Linked DNA regions of Solanum lycopersicum. The protein of the gene in region 1 interacts with the protein of each later gene in a pairwise test. Links are inferred from orthologs where the notes say so. Each region holds a gene or a part of one and is shown in the gene's direction. Other genes may lie near its edges. The genes, in order: LUG2 and transcription factor bHLH128.

Region 1 (6,798 bases):
GTCTGTGTTTTGGGACATTTTCATTGCAAGGACAAATGAAAAACATTCCGAGGCAGCAGCAGCGTACATAGAGGTTTGTTGAACTTAAGCAATGACCCATGACACAAATTACTTAAAAGAAGCGTTACACATTTCATACCAATTAGCATTTCCTTCTATTTTTAGACTCAACAAATGAAAGCAAGGGAGCATCAGCATCAACAGCAGTTACAAATGCAGCAATTGCAACTGATGCAACAACGAAATGCACAGTTACAGCGAAGGGATCCAAATCATTCCCCTCATGGTGGTCCTATAAATGCTATCAACTCCGAAGGTATGATGGGGCAGCCATCTGCCAGTGTATTGGCAATGAAAATGTACGAGGAACGAATGAAGCATCCTCAGTCCATGGACTCGGAAACATCTTCAGCACTTATTGATCCCAATAGGATGGCACTTCTAAAGTCAGCAACTAATCATCAAGGGTATGGTTGGTGCAACTGTTCCTTATGTTATTGCATTATTTTACACAACACGTAACTATTTGTTGCATGCTTTGAATCATTTGTATCTCTATTTCTTCTCTGTTGATTCAGCCAGTTGGTACAAGGAAATTCAGGGAACATGTTGCAGCAAATACAAGGAAGGCCTCAGATGCCAACTGTAACTACATGAGCTCTTAGTTCTAGATACTAGACAGGATATCTCTTCTTTGTTCAATACTCGGTATTTTGTCTTCTTTTACCAAGCTAATGACGATACGTATTTCAACTATGTAGGATATTAAAGGGGAAGTGAACTTGGGTGGCACTCACAAGTCTTTGCCCATGGATCCTTCATCAATTTATGGGCAAGCGATTCTTCAGTCAAAGGCTGGTCTTGGTGCAGGTATTACTACAGAAGACTTATTTTCAGCATAAAAAATAGAGATACATTTTTCGATTGACATTCTTTGTCCACCTATTACTAATAATTTCAAATGGAAAATATATCCATTATCATAAAATGCACTTTTAGTAGTGATTTCACCTAATTATCTTTGTTTATCTTTGATATGACGTATGTTTTTTTCTGAAAACCTGCTCATCTTCCCGTAAGACACTTAATCATGTGGATTTTTATGGAACTCCGTTCATTGAGTGATATCATGGATAATTTCATTTTTTGCTGTTTGAACTTTGAAGTTAAACGACAAATTATTAAGCATTGCTAGACTATTTATAAAGCTTCTTAAGGTTTCTACTTTCCCCAAAGACACTGTCACTGTACTTGGAATCCAATTCTTTTTATTTTATATATATGATGTTTCACTTTTGGTAATTGTCTGTATCACACCTAAAGTTTTATTCATCTGTCTTTAGCAGCAATATATTACGGTTTATGGGTGGAAAGTACTGGAACTGGTCTTTTTTATGTGAGCACAATGAATTGTCTCTCTGCCTATTTCTTTTTATTGGCTTGTTGTAGGATTTCTATTTTTCCAGCTCAGCTTTCATGAAACTCTCCTTTTCCTATTGTCTCATTTTCTCTTTCTGATTAGTCTGTTTAGTTTTTTCCTGTCTTTTCTGAGTACTTGTATGTCAATTATATTGTAGATGATCTTACTTGGGCAATTTAGTCATTATATTTACTCCTTGTTCTTCAGGGTTGAACCAAGGTGGCACTACTCTACCATTGAAGGGTTGGCCTTTAACAGTAAGTTACCTACTACTTTTGGTCATTACTGCTTTTAGTATACTGAATTTTTGACGTGCATAGTCGATTGCTTTGCTCATGATATGTTCAGGGAATTGATCAGGTAAGGCCAAGCTTGGGTTTGCAAGTACAAAAACCCAACATACAGACCCAAAATCAATTTCTTTTGGCATCACAACAACAACAGGTCTTAGCTCAAGCTCAAGCCCAAGGTAACCTTGGAAACTCACCTAATTATGGGTTTGGTGGATTACCTAGAGGGAACTTTAATGCCAAAGATGGTCAGCCCCCTAGAAATGATGGATCCATTTGCTCTCCAGTACAGTCGAATTCCCCAAAGGTTAACTCGAATCTCCTAGAGTCCAGAATAGATTTTGCTTTTGCGCGTCAACTATACTATCTTTTTATCTGTTACACTGCACAACTATTCTGAGGCTTAGCCATTTTGTCTGTAAATGATAATGTCTGTTTCTGTCGAAGGGTTTGTGTTAACTCAGGGGCGGAGCTACCGTATTGATGGGGGGTTTGACCGAACCCACTGGCTTTTCCGTAGACCCTATATTTGTTTTTAAAAAAAGAAATAAAATGTATATATTATATTTATTTCCTGCGAGCCCACAATCACAATGAAACGATTGGTCCAACAGTATTTGTGCACCCAATAAATTCGTTTGGCCCCCACTCGAACGGGTTACTCTGATACAACATCTTACTCAGACATTCAAAAAAGTTTAAACCCAATTTCTTTTCTTTTTTTTCATCAAAAGTTAGGGTCTAACTTTTATTGTTAATCTAATTGTTACCGTCTGAAATCCAGTCTCCGGTATGTAATCTTGTCTCTCTTTTCATTTTTTTCCATACTTGTTTGCTTTTAGATGGTATGATTATCTATTCAAAATTTGATTTTTTATCTTTGATTCTAGGGTCATCCCACATTGATAATTTATTATATTTAATAATTGTTGTTTGCTTTTCAAAATTTTAACTTTTGTTGATGGGCAGTAATGGTTCAAGATTATAGTTAAACTAGTAAAATATCTATTTTAAGTGCCAAAATATTCGTGTTGAATTTAATAATTGTAAGCTCACTTAGAACTATATTGAAGATTATAGTAAAAATATTCAAAATTTGATGGTTGTTACTTTAGGTTTAGATCAATTTAGAACCCACTGGTCTGAAATCCTGGCTCCACCTCTTTGTGTTATTTCTTACAATCCGTATAACGGCTAAAGTTTAAAGTGCTTATACTATATACCTGTCTTAAACAGATGAAAATGTCCCAAATGCAGCACTCTTCGTCTCAACAACAGGACCAGTTGCAGCAGCAGCAGCAACAACTGCAACAGGTTAGCTTAAGGAAAGCGTAAAAAAAGCTGTTTTTTTATCTGAATTTTGATATCATCGAACTCATGTGATATCAACTTTTGTTAACAAGTGATATCTGTTCCTGCCTTGCCTTCTTTTGCTGCAGTTGGAAATTTCCATTCTTTTTCCTTTTTAATGTTTTGGTTTCCTGAAAAATAAATTATCTAATCAGTCCAATGAGTAGTTCATCCAGCTTCTTACTTTTTTCCCAGACCAACAGAAAAAGGAAGCAACATTCGTCTTCGGGACATGCTAATAGTACTGGCACTGGTAACACAGTTGGCCCTTCACCAAGTTCACCACAATCAACTCATACCCCAGGTGATGGAATGACTAGCATGTCAAAAGGTTTGATAATGTATGGAGAGGGAACTGGCGGAATTGCATCCTCTACAAATCAGCTGGTAATTCTTTCAGTTATTCATGCAAATGTTTGTTTGGATTATTTTTTTTCTAAATGTCTACTTTCATATTTGTTAATGAAGTATTTAGTTTCCATATAAATTCACAGTTTAATATGCTAATTATGCCAAGACCTTGAAAGTGCTTTTTACCATCTTAAATCGTATAATGCTCAACGTGACTTCTATCGTACAGGATGACTTAGAGCCTTTTGGAGACATTGATAATGTGGAATCATTTCTGTCACAAGACGGAGGAGATGGAAACATCTATGGATCATTGAAGCAAACTCTTACTGAGCACAAGCCTGAAACCTCAAAAGGTAATAATCTCACAATTGGACTTGTAAAAGCTCTATTGTGTTTCTTTTTTTTTTGCAAAATTATAAACTTAAACGATTCATCTCAGGTTTCTCCTTTGGTGAAGTTGGTTGTATACGCACGAGAAATAAAGTGACTTGCTGTCATTTCTCATCAGATGGGAAGTTACTTGCTAGTGCTGGACATGACAAGAAGGTAGGCTGCTCCAGAATATCTAATGTCTTTAGCATAAATAATCGGATTACTGTTTTATTTCGTTCTATGATATGTGATTGTAGGTTCTATTCTCTATTTTACTTCATTATTCATCTAAGAAATTGTAAATTATGAAACATTTACTATGTATGCATCAGGCTGTTCTTTGGAACATGGATACTCTACAAACAGAGACCACGCCTGAGGAACATCAGTACTTGATTACAGATATCCGCTTCCGGCCTAATTCTTCTCAACTTGCAACTGCTTCATTTGACAAGTCTGTGAGATTATGGGACGCAAGCAATGTAATTATTTTTATATTCTCTACTGGAACTTCAGATCTTTTCATTTTTTTGCCTTTTTCTTGTTTAAGAACTCCGAGATGTAGTTGTAAGGCCTTAGCTACAGTTGCATTTTTCAATAAATCAAATGTTAAACAAATTCATACTAAATAATCCGTTGCCGAACTTCTATTTGCAGCCTAGCTATTGTTTGCATGCTTACACGGGGCATAGTTATCATGTTATGTCGTTGGATTTTCATCCTAAAAAGAACGACCTATTCTGTTTCTGCGATAGCAACAATGAAATTCGCTACTGGAGTATTAGTCCATTTTCTTGTACTCGGGTGTCCAAGGTTTGCTTTTTAATGTAGAATACTGTTATGTATAAACCTACTTTGCAGTAGTAAATTCGTAATGAGCTAACTTCGACTTCATTTCTCTCTACTTGTAGCAAGGAGGAAGCGCACAAGTGAGGTTTCAACCAATGACTGGGCGTTTGTTGGCTGCCGCTTCAGATAAGATGGTTTCAGTCTTTGATGTCGAAAATGACAGGCAAATTCATTCTTTCCAGGTTTGTTTCCGTGCTAGCTGACTTTGAGTTTATTTGATATATTTTACCTTCATTCTCGACATTATATATCGGTGTTTGCTTATAGGGGCATCCTGGAGTGGTGAACTACCTGTGTTGGGATCTCAATGGTGAGTTACTGGCATCAGTCAGTGAGGAGTCTGTCAAAGTGTGGTCATTGGCCACCGGTGACTGCATTCATGAGCTAAGTTCTACTGGGAATCAGTTTCACTCGTGTGTTTTTCATCCTAGTTATCCTGCTCTATTGGTGATTGGAGGAATGAGGGTAATTGCGTTTGATAGACTACTTCATATTCATACACTTTTTACTGTTTAGTGACAATGCTCAACACTTCACTGCTATTTTGTGAATTTATGTTGCAGTCTCTGGAGCTGTGGGACATGGTTGAGAACAAAAGCATGACGGTTCCAGCACATGAGAACATTATCGCTGCACTAGCACAGTCACCGGCGACTGGAATGGTTGGCTCTGCAAGTCATGACAGTTCGGTCAAGTTATGGAAATAGAGGACAATTTCAAGATTTCACAAAAAAGTATATAGATATCTATAGCTCTTATTGTTTTTTATGAAGAATATCCATGTTTGTGGTTGTTATAGTTAACATTAGAGCGTGGTTTGCCGTTGAGAAAGGCGTTGCACAGTAACAGATTTGCAAATTTTCATGGTAAAATGTACCGTGTTTCTCCTAGTATTGGATAAAACGGATAATGAACATTTTTAATACCTCAAATTGTCACTGCTATAAGAGTATAAAAGTTTCCAGTTTGGTGCAAATGAACTGTGTTATGCATGTAGAGTTGTGTTCAACATCAATGTTATCGAAATATCCTGTAGGGAGTGCTATCCTCAATGGACCCTATTAGATGTGAATTCGGATTAGTCAAACTCGTGCACATAGGATGGAAAAATCAACTTCATTTCCTAAGGTTATCGACTGTCATACCAACATGCTCCAATGCTACATTGATCCTTCATTTGCTTTAGGTACTCGTGTGGAATGGGTCCAATAAGAGAGGCATTTTATGCAGATCTTTCAAATATTGAGGAAGTGGATGGGGCTATGCGTAAGATGAACAAGGCAAAAGCAATCGAGCCCAGACGAAATCTCGATCGAATTGTAGAAGAACATGAGCCGGGCAGGGTTGGATGACTCAATAGATTGTTTAATGTCATTATTAGGACAACAAAGATATCCTAAGAATGGAGGTGGAGTATGATAATCCAGTTGTACATCAATAAGGATTGATGTTTACTATTGCAATAATTATAGAGGCATCAAGCTGTTAAACCACACTATGAAAGCTTGGGAGAGAGTAGTGAAAGTGAGGGTCAGGAGGAGTGTGTCGATTTCAGAGAACCAATTCGGTTTCATGTCAAATGATTGACTACGTAAGTCATTCACATTGTAAGGAGGTTGGTAGAGCAATATAGGAATAAGAAGAGGGACTTGTGTATAATCGAAGTTTCTATTTCCCAAGATAGAAGTTTCAAGTACTTTGGATTCAGTAATTCAAGGTAACGAGGAGATTGAAAAATATGTCACACATCATATTGGACGGGGTGATATAGTATTGATTGATGAGACACAATGGAGGCATACTTAACACAAAATTGAAAGTTTAGAGACACACTAAAGTAAAAAATTTCAAGTTGAGGACCAAAAGTTGAACATATCTAGACTGCAAGTTCAATGGTGTGTCTCTTGTAACAGACATGGACGTAGTGTTGACACATAACTCTTCCCAAGATAGAAGTTTCAAGTACTTGGATTAAATAATTCAAGGGAATGAGGAGATTGAAAATAATGTCACTCATCATATTGGGCGGGGTAGATGATTTGGACATTCGCTTATGATATTATTGAAGGAAGTTGAGGACTGATGGAACATGTCGAATGAACGGGTCCATCGAAGCTGGCTGACAAGTTAGAGTTAGATTCATACTAGGACTAGACTACTAAA
Region 2 (8,540 bases), about 14 Mb from region 1:
GTTCAAGTTTATGTATAAAAAAAAATGTTAGTGTTCAAATAAGGTAGGCATAAGACTTTTTGAGATAGACCAATAAATAATTTATCAGAAAAAAATAATTTTCACACTAGGAAATGTCAATACGTATAATAATAATAAAAATACTTGACATGATCCATACAAATATAATATAATACACAGGACATAATATGTTAAATTAAATTTAAAAAAAAAAGACATACTATGTTCTAGGAAAAGTGCATATGAACATGAAAAAGAAAGAATTATTCAATATGAAAAAGAAAAAAGATAATTAATCTTCTAATTATTTATCAAGGAAATAACAAATTGTCATATATAATTATTATTGGCAGAATCCTAAAATTTACAAATATTGATGATTCTTTTAATTATGAAAAATAGTTTAGGGACTTTATATTACTTATATTAAATGGAATATTTCTTAAATTACAAAGGTTATACTTTCTCTACTCCATTTTATTTGTATATAAATATTAATGAAAGGATTATTTGACTAAATTAGCTTTATTTACTCCTTTTAATTTAATATATAGACTTGCCTCTTTGTAAAGTAGCAATATGCATGCAGACTTATTAACCTACTTGCAGTACAGTACTCTCTTTGTATTAATTTATGAGATATTTTTCAAACTTTAAATGCTAAACAATTTTCTTAATCACTATCTTTTTATATGTTTTATAAGTATTTAAATCACTAATGAAAAATAATTACTATAATACTATTTTCTATAATGATCCTTGAGGAATACAAACAAACTTCTCGTGACTTGAGTATATATACGTGCAATTGCTAGTACAGTGTACTACATATAGTGTTGCTTCACATGCATTGCTTTGGCACACCACATTGAGCAGCAAGTTGAACAATATGGATTGAGGCCGGGTCAGGCCTGCACCTTTTCGGATCGACCCGGTGAGGACCCGCCAAACGAAACCAATGTAGAAGAGGAAGGGGCCGGTTAATTAGGCAAAGTATGTGTCTGTGGAGAATAGATTGTATGAACAGACCTTCGTTATTATAGAATGATTATTATGATTAAAGCAGAATGACAAGAAAATATGACAACTGAATAATAAAAAATCGATAGTATAAACACATAAAAGAATAAGAAACTACATGATTATTAATACTATTACTGAAAACGAGAATTGGGAACGAGAAGACTGACCCCACCTCTCCCGTACATATAGTTAGGGGTGTACATGGGCCGGTTTGGTTTTTCATTAATAATAATCTAAACCAATTCTATTAAATCTAAAAATCAAATCAAACCACATAAAGTCAAGTTTTTTCAGTTTTGACTTTAGTCGGTTCTTTTGATTTTTTGATTTTTTACAATTATACGGTGTTTGAAAAAGTGATCCAATATATTCTCAGTTATCTGTGTGATAAGCTAAACTTAAAAGATGTCATCGAAAAGATGTAAAATTTACACGAGTACAAAATATTTTTGTTTTTGAAATATCAAGGTTTGATATGTAAAATTAATAAAGATCAAAGGCGACAATCAAAGTGAATACAAAACGAAATATTTACAAAGTAAATTGTTAACTTCGAATTTGAAAATCTATAACAATATTATTTTAACTTCTGATCTTACTACAAAATAAAATATTTACAAAGTTTTACAAGCTCAAATTTAAATAAGTATATATAAACATTGAAAACTATAAACTAACTAAAAATATATTAGCAAAGTAGATTATAAATAATATTTTTTATTTATAAATAAAACAAAATTGTATATTTATATTATGTCGGTTTGGTTTGGGTTCGATTTGACTTTTTTTCTTCGAATAGCAAACCAAATCAAGAGTGGTCGATTTTTTTTTCACGCCAAACCAAACCACAAATCGTTTTTTTCGAATTGATTTGGTTCGTCGTTTGATTTGACTTGTATACCCCTATATATAGTACAGTAATACCTGGATATCTACCCACTTTCTACTTTAATCCTCGATCTCCAAATTTTCGTATCTTGATACTAGCTATGATCACTCCCTTTATTTCATTTTCAACCTACTTTTACATCCACTAACTCCTTCTATACATAATCAACTTCTCATACCACCTACCCGACATATTTGCACACTCCATCTTCACATGTTCGAATCATATCAACCTCATCATTTTTCTCATTTTGTTTATTGTTGCAAAAGCCACCCACATATTTTCCCCGTATAACTTTATTTTCATATGCCTCATAGTATGCCCACACATCTGCTTAACTTTATAACTGATCATATTCCTCATAGTATGCCCACACGACTGCTCTTCTAAACGTGGGTATATTCTTGACTAGCTAGCCCCTCTTTTCAATAAAACAATATCGATCTAATCACTATTATTTCACTTGCCTTTAAAACTCTACTACATATTCTTATCACACAAACATACCACATCGTAATTTATATCCTTGTTCTCTTGAATTATGAATTCAAAATATTTAAAATTTTCTCTCTTTAAAATAATTCATGCGTCATTTTTCATGAATTACGTTATTAAACTTACACTTTAGATAAAATTAATAACTCACAATATAAATAATGACATAACTCACAATATAAATAATAACGATAATGTGTCACGTAAATTGAAAGAAATTAATTTATACTTTAGTAGGATAGGATGTAGTACACATTGTATATTAATTTTCTATTAAAGAAAAAATGTAAAGACAAAATCACAAAAACAGCAGAACCCCATTGGCTGATCCACTCTCTTTCTCACAAGACTTTTCATAAAACAAGTGTAGCACTTTTTCATTTTTTTAATTCCCAACTTGCTCTCTTCCCTCACCCCACCCACCCACCTCTCTCTCTATTAACTTCTCAACCTCCAAATCTTAACAATCCAATTCGAACAAATTATCAAATGTATCCATCATCAACATCTTCTTCATCACAAGGTTCAATGAGCCACACCAGCACCACCGCTGGCGGCGCCGGCGGTGGTCTCACTCGCTACGGTTCAGCTCCGGGATCATTTTTAACTACAGCAGTTGAAGCCGTCGTTAACGGTAATCACGAGTTCGCTTCTCACGGATCTCATCACTCACACCTTGGTCCTTCACGGTTTTTTCAGTCCAATCTAGCATCTACTTCGTTAAATTCCGAATCTACAAGTAAAGCGAAGGAACAATCGAATTTACAGAGGTCAATTGGTTTCAATGACTTAACAATCGGCGGCGGAAGCGGCGCTGGAGGAGGAGTTTTGCCGACGACTTCAACGACGCCGTTGGTTCGACATAGTAGCTCACCGGCGAGGTTCCTTAATCAACTTGCTACTGCTGCAGGTGATACTGGTAAGTTTTCAACTTCCCTTTTTTTCCTAATTGATATGTCAAATGACGAATTTAACCTTCCTGTATATGATTCCTTTCTGTTTGCTTTTTTTTTTTTCCTGCTAAAGTCATCAGCATTTGGTAACTTTTTTAACCAATCAGAGTAGACTTTGCTAATTGACTAATCACAACTAACTTTGCATAAATTAACAAACTTTGAAATGCATTTTACATTTTAAAGTATTCCCTGGTTACATTTTGTCCACATGACAAAGTTAATTTCGACACAAAATTTAAGAAAGAAATAATATTTTTATAGTTAAACATGTTAGAATAATTTTATAGCTATTTAAATCGTAAAAATAATTTCTTACAAAAATGTTAAATTGAATTACGAACAATAAGCTCTTGTGATCTGTTTTTTTTCCAAACCCCAGACACAGCAGAAGCTTAATTAATGCGTTGAGTTACCTTTTAAAGAAAGTGTAATTAGCTACCGATGAAATGAGAAAGTAGGTTTCTTGCAGATAGAACCAATTAATGGAGGATTAACTTATATTAATCATCTCATTGGACTTCATTAACTTCTAAATGAATTGTCATGAGATTACAGTACAAAAGTAAGATTTACTTATGTCACAATTAGACGTTATAAACTGACTAGTTGAGCACTTAAACATAAATAATTACTCAAAAAAGGACACATATAGAGTAAGTGGGGAAATATGCTAAGAGTAATTGAGTTTGTCTTATCTAATTACATATAACAAGTTGCTAAAAAAAATTTACCAAAAGATTAAAAGAGTTATGTACATGTTTAAGGATATACTTAGTACTCGAAGAATCTTTAATACCTCCTTACAACTTGCAAACTCATTTTTTCTTTCCCTCCATATGATTAGTACTTTTAACTTCTAATCTTAAAAAAGAAGTACTACTTCATTTGTCCCACTTCATGCAGTTACTAAAATGGTGAGCTAAAAGGAATTCTATAAAAATTTTGAACTATGAATTATTAAATTTATATTACATTTTAAGCAATTTTAAATATGTAATTTCTTTTTAAAAAGATATATGTCCATCAATTATTGAATCATCTCACATAAAATGGAACACAGAAAATATATCATATCAACAAAAGTTTAGCTAATTCTACTTTTCCTATGGTGAGTGTATTTTTGTGTCTGCTCTTTTTATCTGTCTAAGATAATAACAATAACATACTTAATATAATCTTATAACAGAAGTCTCGAAAGTACAGAATGTACATATATTTTATGTCTATTTTGTAGAAATCAAATCACTAAAAACAGTTTCATCTTTTATCTATCTACCTTCTACCATTTCCAAATTTATACTTTCCAATCTTGACAAGTATGTTAGATAGACTTCTGTAGTTCATGTTTGTAATTGAATACATCGTGTAATTCAAGGTTTATACTCCCTCTAGTCCCAATTATCAATCGTTTGACAAGTTGAAATTATTTATAAATATTAGTATCCATTTTAGAAATACAAGAAATGATTTGTTAATCCTTTCGTTTCAATTTATGTGTCATAATTTGATTTTGTACAAACTTTAGAAAAAAAAGTACATACGTCTACAAGTTTTGGTCTGTAACATCCCAAAACATATATGTAACTTTTATAAGATGTGTATACATTAAAAACTTCAGATTAAAAATGTGTCATTATTTTGAAGCATATAAAAAAAATTTGATACATTTAGCTAAAATTATATATTTATTTCGAGAAATTCATTTAACATAAATAAATTCTTGTTTTACAACCAACTTAATGATTTAGAATTCAAAAGTTATATACTCTAAATCTTAATTCCGCTTATTGTTAATTAATATAAAAAGTAGAGGGGAACAATCTTGGGTTAGCTTAAAATAAATGGAATTAGTTTCCTAAATTAGAAGGTATATAACGTAAGCAGCCGCAAATTATTATTTGCTCTCTTTTAAAAATAACTTATCCATCAATAGGGCAAATTAGGTGATTAGTGGAGCTAATTGGTAGGTCTAAATCCTGTCTCAACTCTTAGTGACATGTAAAGGTGGGTTCCACATTTGGTGAAGGTGAATGCATGTGTGTCTGCTAAGTTTCCAATCGCCCACAACATTTGGCCAATGAAACCACTGGTATTAATTAATTACTCATTAGATGGTGGATCCTTCTTTAAGATAGAATCTCATTAGCACTAATTAATATTTTTTTTAAAAAAAAAATGTTTCTGGAGATAGGATTTGGGGTGGGGGTTGAACGGAGTTAGATGCAACTTGTGCAATTTGACACTGCTGAGCTTATAAACAATAATATACCGTAATGGTGAGAAAATTTAAAGAAGTTATAAGTTAATATATTAAACAAATTTGTTACTTTTAGTTTTTTATAACTATTATATTTAAACCAACTTGCATGTATCTAATTAATTACGTATATGTAGTTAATTATATAAAAGTCAAATTTTATTTCTTTTTAGTCTAAGAGGTAAGGGATTTGATCTTAATGGTAAAAGTATAACGTGTGATATTCAAAATGGAGAAGATCAGAAAGATGAATTCATTATCCATTGAACTGTGAATCATGCATCACTGATCCTTGTTGTTTTTCGATTTTAATAAAAAAATATTTGACCTTTGTATTAATATAATTAATGGTGCCTAGATCCTTAGAAGCAGGGAAGGGAGAAAGAATGATACTACTTTTGTAAATTAATTTGATATGAGGTGGGGAGACTGAAAGGCTATGCTTTTATTGTCAACTATCAGAAACTCTACAACTCATTTTGATCATCTAAGTTGGTTAGACTTTTTTAATTTGTTATTACGATTCATTTAAAATGCACTATTTTAAAAGACCTGACATGCAATTTTCTATATTTTTGAAATGTCCGATCGGTATAGAAATAAATTCTCCTTTCAACTAAAAGGGTGGTTTAATCTATGATTTTTTGCCAATAAGATATATTGATTTGGAATAGGACATACAATGTGGATGCTTTGACCTCGAAAAAAGGCAATTTATTCTCTATTAATTTTTTAAAATAATTATAATCTACTCTACGTTAGGTTTAGGTCTACTATTAGACCTTTAATCGTTGTATTAGTTTCTTAAGTTAATGTGTGTATGAACTAAGTCATGATCATTATGTCACACAAACTTGAATGGGTCAATAAAGTTGTGTTGCGGTTCCTTTATTCATTTTTTCTACTTATGGTAATTGATATATGAGAGGTTGGAGTGTGCTTCTTTGAGCACTGAGTCTATTCCATTAGTTATGTTGTAGTTTTCTTTTCTTCAACCCAAATAAAACAATAAATAAATTAATTAATTAAACGAGCACAACTTGGGACTTATTATTCATTTTATTTCATTTTATATGGTATCATTTTTATTAAAAAATTTATTCCATGAATAATTACGATAACATATATGTATAATATCACAAATAGAATATAGGGAGGACAATATGTACTTCTTTACTAGGTGATGAAACTTTAGGCTAAGAAAAAATTATTTGAAGTAAGATTGTCAAAAAATATTTGAAACAGAATATTGTATAATTATGTAGTAATGTAATAGAAAGAATTGAAAAACTTTCAGGGGCCAAAAAGTATTTTGTGGTCTCTGTAAATTATACGAGTAGAGATATAAGTTTTGGAATTATTAATTGATTTTATAGAACAAGTTGTCACTTGGGCCCAATGAGCAATATAGATATTAGAGTATTATTTTGTTGTTTCCTTAATCATAATCTTAGTAAGAAGCTCCTTATTGGAGGAAGTGAGCATTTCTTTTGTGGGGTCCAAACTTTCAAATATAGCAAGTTGACATTATATAAAATATAAAATTCTAGTAAAAGTAGCAACTAGCCAATAAAATAATGAATAAAGGAAAGGGAAGGAGTTTTGTCCCTTTATTTAATTGATGGTGATTGTGCCTACGATTCTTTGAATCCATTTTTTACTTATTTTGAGGTCAAGATGCATTCACCAAACAGCTCCTAAAATTCCATGACTGGTCAGTTATCACGTGCATGGGTATTTACTTGACCCGTTTATTCCCACTTGCTCTATCCATTATTATTATTATTATTATCTTAGCCGCCACCTAAAACCAGCCCAATGTTTTTGAGTGCTTTACTAGTTCTAAGATATTTTCTGAAAGTTTTACAGTCGACTGTTAGCAGATGATCCTGTTTTTATTTGTTGGTGTAATTTATGATTCTTCATATAAGAAATGCTTTGATTATGATCTTAAATTTTGTAGACAATAAACAAACTTCAATGTTTTGTTAGTTTCAAAGGCTTATATTTTCACAACTTGTGAAAATAGTGATTAAATTTAAATGATGACTTATTTTAAAAAATTTTTAAATCAAGGACTTTCTCATTTACTATTCATATTTTGTTTTGTCTAGTGGTTAACGAAGGAGGTTTAAGCATTATAAGGTCCTAGGTTCAGTTCCTAACAAAGAGAAAACACTAGGTGATATTTTCCCTCATATATCCCATGAAATGGAGCTTTAGTAGATCAGTTAGTTTTGAGTTGAGGGTCTATCGAAAACAATCTCTCTACCCCACAAGGTAGGATAAGGTGTGTGTATCTTATTTTCGTTGGTTTTATCTTTAGTTTGAGTAGTAATATTCATACCTTGTCAAACAAAGACTTCAAATTAGATATCAAATGGAAGTCTAACAATTTGATGTGGAAAAGAGGATCTCTTTTATGTTATGTCTGTAATATACTTTAATTTTGTCAAAGAAGACCTTAATATATAGAGCCAAAAGAGACCAAATACTTTTCCATGGAGACTACAAGGGTCACACCAGAACTATCAGCTTTTGAGATGACATTTTTGAATCAAACTCACGAAAAGATTCATATCTAATATGTTGTAAAGGTTTTAATTTGGTAAAAAGAACTCGTTACCATAACTTGTAGTATAATTCAAGTTTGACTTGACGTTAGGATTTTCAGTTTCAATGGGGAGAGGAAGCTATAACCCAAAAGGCGGTGGAGATAGTGGCCGGGGAATAACAAGGCTGAACTCTCAGCTCAGCTTCACAACGCAAGAAGCTCTTTCTCAAATAGCAGAGGAAAATGAGGATATTGAAGGGACCAGTATAGCCAATGGCCACAGAAAGTCAACACATTCTTATGCCAGTGCAAGTAGTTTCGCGATGGGTTCTTGGGAAGATAACAACTCTATAATGTTCTCTGTCA

The links.
Region 2: the proteins of LUG2 (region 1) and transcription factor bHLH128 interact in binary tests that used the Arabidopsis thaliana proteins (3 or more experiments, as listed by UniProt). The link is inferred for Solanum lycopersicum from reciprocal best matches to the Arabidopsis thaliana genes LUH and AT1G05805.

The regions. Positions count from the first base shown.
Region 1 is NC_090808.1:55,375,086-55,381,883, reverse strand, and holds the end of LUG2 (transcriptional corepressor LEUNIG_HOMOLOG), read left to right. Parts: coding exon 1-73; intron 74-165; coding exon 166-467; intron 468-578; coding exon 579-645; intron 646-761; coding exon 762-870; intron 871-1,627; coding exon 1,628-1,677; intron 1,678-1,768; coding exon 1,769-2,017; intron 2,018-2,946; coding exon 2,947-3,024; intron 3,025-3,255; coding exon 3,256-3,447; intron 3,448-3,640; coding exon 3,641-3,767; intron 3,768-3,853; coding exon 3,854-3,960; intron 3,961-4,118; coding exon 4,119-4,268; intron 4,269-4,443; coding exon 4,444-4,599; intron 4,600-4,697; coding exon 4,698-4,817; intron 4,818-4,902; coding exon 4,903-5,100; intron 5,101-5,198; coding exon 5,199-5,342; 3' UTR 5,343-5,611; downstream 5,612-6,798. UniProt on the Arabidopsis thaliana protein: Transcription repressor subunit of the SEU-SLK1 and SEU-SLK2 transcriptional corepressor of abiotic stress (e.g. salt and osmotic stress) response genes, by means of an epigenetic process involving histone modification (e.g.
Region 2 is NC_090808.1:69,415,678-69,424,217, reverse strand, and holds the start of transcription factor bHLH128, read left to right. Parts: upstream 1-2,721; 5' UTR 2,722-2,896; coding exon 2,897-3,326; intron 3,327-8,285; coding exon 8,286-8,540.